2 linked regions of the Sus scrofa genome follow. The protein of the gene in region 1 interacts with the protein of each later gene in a pairwise test. Links are inferred from orthologs where the notes say so. Each region holds a gene or a part of one and is shown on either strand. Other genes may lie near its edges. The genes, in order: FBLIM1 and CUTA.

Region 1 (3,808 bases):
CTACTTCTCCCGATGCTTCAGGCTCACTGATGCCACTGTGAGATTTTACAGGTCCTTGCCTCTTTCTGCCTTTTCTAGGGCCGCACCCAGGGCACATGGAGGTTCCCAGGCTAGGGGTCCAATCGGAGCTATAGCCGCCGGCCTACGCCAGAGCCACAACAACTCAGGATCTGAGCTGCATCTGTGACCTACACCACAGCTCACGGCAACATCGGATCCTTAACCCACTGAGTGAGGCCAGGGATCGAACCCACAACCTCATGGTTCCTAGTCAGATTCGTTAACCACTGAGCCACAATGGGAACTCCCCTTGCCTCTTTCTGTACTTCTTTTTCCCTCTCTGAATATGTGGCAAACTTCCACCCATCCTGCAAAACCCAGGTTAAGCAATGCCTCCTCTATAAGAGTGGCTTTTTTTTTTTTTTTTTTAATTTCATGGCCACACTCACAGCACATGGCAGTTCTTGGGCCAGGGACTGAACTCAAGTCACAGCTGTGACCTACACTGCAGCTGGAGCAATGCCAGATCCTTTAACCCAATGCATAGAACTGGGAATCCAACCTGCACCTTGGCAACGACTCAAGCCACTACAGTCAGATTTTTAACCCACTGCGCCATGGCAGGAACTCCTATAAGCGTGCCTTTGACGTTGTCTCTACTGCAAAGCAGTGGGTTAAAGATCCAGTGCTGCTGCAGCTGCGGCTGGGATTTGATTCCGGGCCTGGGAACTTCCACACACCGTGGGTGTGGTCAAAAAAGAAAAAAAAAAAAGAAAGAAAGAAAAAGAGTGCCTTCAACTGCACCAACCTCGTTAGACTTGCTCACTGCCTTCTTTTTCCCAAAGTTGATTTATATAAGTTCCTTCTTAGTACCTGGAAGGACACTTGTGGTGTAGGTCTGCCCAGCATCTTTTTCTTGCTTCCTATGGTTGTATCCACCCCAGTCTGTTTCATAAGAGTTCTGCCTCCCTGGCCCCAGAGGTTATGAATCATAGCTCCTGACCACCGATTGGTCCAGAATGGGCACGTGACCCAAGGTGGGTGAATCAGAAGCCTTCTTGGGACTATGTGGGATCCTGGGTATGGTTTCCAAGTTGGAAGGATATAAACCTGAGCCAGCCATGACCATGCCCTGTGTCCCCTGCCTTTTTCTCTTCTGTGGGAGGACACCAACCCACAGAAGAGAAAATGAAGCAAACACACAAAAGGGGAGAACCGAGAGGTGGAGAGAGCCCCAGGATGTTATCGGGGATGTCCCCACCCAGAGCCTGCTGGAAGATCCCTTTTCTTGCAGAAAGAAGGTTGAGCTTGGTTTCTATCATTAACTCAAAGAGTTCTGATTAATAGACTACGTGTGTAATCATTTCGAACCTTATTATTTTTTTTTTTTTTAGAGCTGCATCTGCGGCATATGGAAGTTCCCAGGCTAGGGGTCAAATCAGAGCTGGAGCTGCCAGCCTACACCACAGCTCACAGCCACACCAGACCCAACCAAACTGCGTCTGCTACCTACATAGCAACTCAGGGCAATGCCGGACCCTTAACCCACTGACCAGGGGCCAGGGATCAACCCTGCATCCTCATGGATGCGAGTTGGGTTCGTTACCACTGAGCCACAACAGGGATTCCCTCCAACCTTACTTGTCTCTGTGTTGGATGGGAAGAAATTTGAGAGCAGAGGATTTGTCCTGCCCCAGGGCCTGGTTCTCAATAGGGCTGGGGCGGCAGTTACACAGGATCTGCAGCAACTTACAAAATCATCACTGTTTCACTCACCTCACACCTGTAGCAATTTTCATGGAAGTTTCTTCCCATGCACTCGATTTTGAAGGCATCCTTCCCGTCTCGGGGGATGATGGGATTCTCACAGATGCTGCACACAGGGGCGAATTTCCTAGAGGGAGAGAAACCCACACTCTGGAGGTGTTCACGCCACCGGCCATAGAAATTAGCTGTCAGAACCCTGGGCGGTTCACGTTCACCTCCCAGAGCTATTTCAGACCTGGTGCTATGCAACTGCACCTGAAGCTACAACCACAAATGCCTATTTCTTCCTGGCAGGAGTGGATGGAGAGACCCGGGTAATTAGACTTGGCTTCCCAGGGTATAATTAGCTCAAGGCAAAGAAGTGACCAAGGAAGGCTGGAATTTGAGAAAGCAGAGAACTCTCATGTGTGTTCAGAGGGATCCATTTCATGCGTCTTGTATTTCATTTTCTTCTTTCCTTTCTCACTAAGCACATTTGTCCCTCCCTGTGGGAAGTGAGCGACTCGAGGGCAGGGATGGAGCCTCACAGAGACGTGTGCTGCTACCACTCGATACGGCTCCAGCTCAGAGGGGAGGCAATGTGGTCTGGTGTTTGAGAGCAAAGCTCCAAAGTTAAGTCATGGGGGTGTTTTGTTTTGTTGTCTTTTTAGGGCTGCACTTGTGTCATATGGACGTTCTCTGGCTAGGGGATGAGTTAGAGCTTCGACTGCCAGCCCACGCCATAGCCACACCACATCTGCAACCTGAGCAACTGCTCATGGCAATGTCGGATCCTTAACCAGCTGATCGAGGCCAGGGATCATCCTTATGGATACTAGTTGGATTCTTTTTTTTTTTTTTTTTTTTTTGTCTTTCTGCCTTTTCTAGGACCCCGCACCCACAGCATTTGGAGGTTCCCAGGCTAGGAGTCCAATCGGAGCTGTAGCTGCTGGCCTATGCCAGGGCCACAGCAACGCGGGATCCGAGCCTCGTCTGCGACCTACACCACAGCTCACAGCAACGCCAGATCCTTAACCCACTGAGCAAGGCCAGGGATCAAACTTGTAACCTCCTGGTTCCTAGTCAGATTCAGGTAAACGGAACTCTTACACTTTTTTTTTTTTTTTTGTCTTTTTGCTATTTCTTTGAGCCACTTCTGCGGCATATGGAGGTTCCCAGGCTAGGGGTCCAATCAGAGCTGTAGCCACCGGCCTACGCCAGAGCCACAGCAACTCGGGATCCGAGCCGCATCTGCGACCTACACCACAGCTCACGGCAACATGGATCGTTAACCCACTGAGCAAGGGCAGGGACCGACCCGCAACCTCATGGTTCCTAGTCGGATTCGTTAACCACTGCGCCATGACGAGAACTTCTACACTTTCTTTTTTAATCTCCTTTTTTTTTTTTTTTTTTTTGGCCACCCCACAGCATACAGAGTTCCTAGGCCAGGGGTCAGATTCAGGCTGCAGTTACAACCTATGCCTACATTGCAGCTGTGGCAACGGCTGGATCCTTAACCCACCGTGATGGGCCGGGGATCAAACCTGTATCCCAGCACTGCAGAGACATTGCCGATCCTGTTGCACCACAGCAGGAGCTCTAGAACTCTTACACTTTCTGCGCAATTTTTCTAAATCTAAAACTACCTTTCCAAAGATAGTGTAGTTTAAAAAAAAATATTAAGCAGTCAAAATCTAAAGAAAAAATTGGTAATAGAGGGAAAGATCTGTGATATGACAGGTGTAGTAAATGTCAATATTGGGCAAAAAGTACAATAAAAACCAGAACCCTTAATAGTGCCTGCCTGGAAGACAGGGGGGTATTTTGGGTTGTTTTGGGGGGAAGAGGTTGGCCTTGTTCATGGCATGTTGAAGTTCCCAGGCCACGGATTGAACTCACACCACAGCAGCGACCCAAGCCACTGCAGCAACAATGCTGGATGTTTAGCCCGCTGAGTCACAAGGGAACTCCTGGAAGTCAGTTTTGGGTCTAAATGGCCTAAACCCAAGTGGAGTGCCTGCTACAGTGTAACTGCTCAAAAAATGTTAGCTACAAGCAA
Region 2 (3,634 bases), on another chromosome or scaffold:
TTCCCCACAGACATCCCCAAAAGCACCCCCAACTCGATGACTGCCTCATCCTCCTCAGTCCCAACCCCCTCCCCAAGTCTTCCTAGACGCTCAGCACCTCCTTCTCCCCTGGGCCGCAGTTTGTCTCCTGGGACTGGGGGAGGAGTCCGAGGCGGGGCTGGCTACCTGTCCCGAGGGGACCCCGTCCGGGTCCTGGCTCGGAGAGTGCGGCCCGATGGCTCTGTGCAGTACCTGGTTGAGTGGGGAGGTGGGGGCATCTTCTGAACAGCTTGCCTCTGCCTGCTTCCCCATTCACACACGCCGGCACTTTCATACCCTGACCTCTGACCTCACCTACAGCTGGGATGTACCTGGGGCGGTAGCGGGTACTTCTCTCTGCTGCCCAGGCTGGAATCCAGGCGGGGAGGTCGGGGAAGAGGCCCTCTCTTCTCCACCCCCTTTGTGATTCCTGACCCTCTCCCCATTCCTCTTCCCATTTCCTTTGATGTTATTTTGTTACAGCTTTTTAAATATTTTTTAAAATTATTTAACCCCTGGGACGGAGACTGAGGAGGGGAGGAGGATAAAGGATCCTGGGCTCTGTATGATTGAAATAAAGATACATGAACAAACTCAGCAGCCCAGAGTCATTCTGAAAGAAGAGTGCAAAGGAACTAGAAGCACTTCCAACCTTAACAACAAATCCACTTTTTGACAAGGAAAGAGACAAATGGCAGAGAGAACTAAGGGTTTATTAAGGCTCCAGTCATGGCCTGAAAGTCAGAGGACACTGAAGGGGAACCTGGCAAGAGCAAAGGCTCGTCATGGTAGGACTGTGCCAGAGTCAGGCACTGATTCTGTAACCTGGCGCACCCAGTGCAGGTATGGGGAGTTCCCCTGCTCCACTGGCAGTGCAATCACCTCGGCCACTTCGTAAGGGTGTACAGAGCTGCAGAAAAGATGGGGGGCAGCGATCACTCAAAAGATTTACCCAAAGGCGCTCACCCTCTCAGACTGCCCAGCAAGGCTCACCCCACAGTACACACCCTCACCTCTACCCATATCAAAGTTCTCACCGAACGAAATCTGTCAAAGCTGGAACCAAGGAACTCTGGGTTTTAATCATCTAAGGGGTGAAGAGGAACATGGTTGAATCAAGAAATTATGTTAATTTCAGGATCTCAGAGGAGAGGTAAAGGTCAAAGCAAGTGGTCAGGGAATTAAGTTTTGCTTGGGTGGGGAATATTTCTCACCATCAGCACTTCACTGTCCTCCTCAATCTTGCCTTTCCACTCATAGCTGAAAAGGTCACGGAGAAAGTGTTGTGGGAGCATAGATCTTCCCCAAAGAAAAAGACTGCCAATCCGCCCCTAGAGTTAGGTCAACCCCCCCAATCCCATGACTCACATGGATGTAATCTGAGGGATGAGGTTGACACAGGCTGCCAGGCGCTTCTCCACCACAGCCCTGAACGTGAGGAGACACCCCCATTTAGAGCCCCCACAACCCAGGTTTTTGCACTGGCTTGCAGGAAGCAGCGGGAGGGCTGCTTCTCTCCACCCCCAACTCTTCCTTCATGAGCATCCTTTCTCGCTCCACACTGAGATCCCCACCTGGCGATCTCCTTGGCGACCTTCTCGTTGGGGCAGGTGACAAAGGCTGCAGAGACCGAGCCGGGAACATAGGCGGAGCCCGAGGCCGGCGTGGGCTGGGTCGGGGGGCTTCCTGAAGCCATGGACAGCAGGGCTCGGGGTAGCAACAGAAGGCGGGAGACTATGGGCAGCAGTGCTGGCATCCAAAGAAGCGACAGGAGCAGAGTGGCCTGAGAGCAGGAGGTGAATTCGGTGTCTCCCGATAAACACCCCAGGAAACTGTCTACCGCTTGCATAGACACTCAGGCTCTGCCCTCCCCCTTCTGTACCCCAAAGAAAAAAGTCCTTGAAGCTGGGAGAGAAGGGTGAAAATTAAGGCAAAGACTCGGTGTCCACTCTCTCCTCCGGGGCCAACCTCTAGGATTTTGAGAGCGGGTAGTGGTCCAGGTTCCGAGGACCGGAAGGGGCGGGGCTGGTAACTCACCCCTCCGCCGAGCAGGATTGCGGGAGCCCGCACCCCCCTCATGCAGCCTATGCTGGTAAAGGAGGGCAGAATATCAAAGACCACATGGTACGCGGAGAAAGTACCCCAAACCCAGGAAGAGAGGCCTCTTCTTACCTGGGCGACAGCCACGTGATAAGAAAACAGCGCACACCACGTGACAAGCCGAGCCACCCTAACATCCAGAGCCAGCCAATCCTTGCCCTCACGTGGGCCGGCTTGCCCCGCCTCCAGCTATGGGCGGAGCTAAGGGGGATCCAGCCAATCAACAGCCGGATCTGCAGCCGTGCACGGAAATGGCCCTCCCGTTTCCGTGTAAGCCGGAAACGGCCAATGGCAGGCGGAGGCGAGCCGCGGCAGCTTTCCACTGTCACGTGAGGGGGCCGGTCCCCTCAGGCGGCGGTACCTCGAGAAGCTATGCGAAGAGGCCAATCGCGGAGCACCCTCGTGAGCACGTGACGAGAGAACTGGCTCTAGGAAAGGAGGGCTAGAGATCCCGCAGAGTCGATGCGTCAGGTTGTGGCGCGGGGAGTCATCCTTAAGCCCTAGAATGCTCCTAGTAACAGCCCCTGCACGGAGGCCTTAAGGAGCCCAAGGGCCGTGGGAGGCTGGACCTCGGGGCTAGAGGGAGCGCCCCCTGCTGTTGTGGTCAGGACTGACATGCCAGAATTGAGGGGGCCCAAGTAGGAGCTCAGAAGCACTCTGTTCTAGGGTAGGGGGCGTGATTAGGCAGCTAGTCCATGGCTAGGTCAGGAAGAATGCACTTCGAAAAGACATAGGGAGTCCCTGAAAATGGATAGAGGGTGATTAAAAAGGGACCCAGGGCGCCTCAGCTTTCTGAACTGAAACCTGAAGCTGAAGACAGACTGGCAAATCGGGAGAGGAGGGCTGCAGGTTGGGCATCTGGAGAGAACACCAGAAAATAGTGTTGGTCTTTTCGTCCCTTATCCCCTTCCTGTTTCGCTCTCCCGGACTTGTCTACTTCTCAGTCTTGGGTCTCCTTCCCTTAACCCATCCCCCTAGGAGCCAGGACCTGCCCTACATAACCTCCCTGGGGCCCAAGCGTATCCTGTGACCCAAAAATTGAGAGAGGGGCCAAGGAGAGGCGAAAGAAGAGGGAGGCGGCAAGGAGAAAGAGGCTCTTTCTACTTCCCCTACCCAGCATTTCCCCCTCCCTCCTAGGTCTGGGGTCTCTGCTCCGCTGGGCGGGTGTGACTGGGCATTCCCCAGGCAGAGTTTTTGCACACGTAGTTCTTAGGGGTTGGGATCTCCCTGAGACCTCTGTCTTGGGCTTTGGAGTCTGCTGCTGAGATAGATCTCTGTGGGGTCTTGCAGTATTTGCATTGGGATCTTTCTTAGGACTGAGTTCCCTTGTTTTTTGTTTGGGGTTTTTCTGGGTCCATGTTCACCCTCTCTCTGAGGTCTTTGAAATTCTTTATGAGTTTGTGGTCTCTGAGTTCTCTATCTCTGGGCTAGATGGGAGTCTCTTCTTCCACCTCCCCACTTCCCCTGGTCCTCAGGTCTGGAATTTCTGTGTCTCTAAGCTATCAGTCTCTGAGTC

What was found.
Region 2: the proteins of FBLIM1 (region 1) and CUTA interact in binary tests that used the Homo sapiens proteins (3 or more experiments, as listed by UniProt). The two-hybrid records come from large-scale screens. The link is inferred for Sus scrofa from reciprocal best matches to the Homo sapiens genes FBLIM1 and CUTA.

Annotation. Positions count from the first base shown.
Region 1 is NC_010448.4:74,953,574-74,957,381, reverse strand, and holds part of FBLIM1 (filamin-binding LIM protein 1), read right to left. Parts: intron 1,895-3,808; coding exon 1,777-1,894; intron 1-1,776. UniProt on the Homo sapiens protein: Serves as an anchoring site for cell-ECM adhesion proteins and filamin-containing actin filaments. Is implicated in cell shape modulation (spreading) and motility.
Region 2 is NC_010449.5:29,719,382-29,723,015, forward strand, and holds CUTA (protein CutA), read right to left. Parts: upstream 2,292-3,634; 5' UTR 2,256-2,291; coding exon 2,191-2,255; intron 2,108-2,190; coding exon 2,056-2,107; intron 1,802-2,055; coding exon 1,593-1,801; intron 1,447-1,592; coding exon 1,387-1,446; intron 1,279-1,386; coding exon 1,233-1,278; intron 1,106-1,232; coding exon 1,056-1,105; intron 929-1,055; coding exon 802-928; 3' UTR 713-801; downstream 1-712. Other genes in the region: PHF1 (PHD finger protein 1), read left to right, coding at 1-264. UniProt on the Homo sapiens protein: May form part of a complex of membrane proteins attached to acetylcholinesterase (AChE).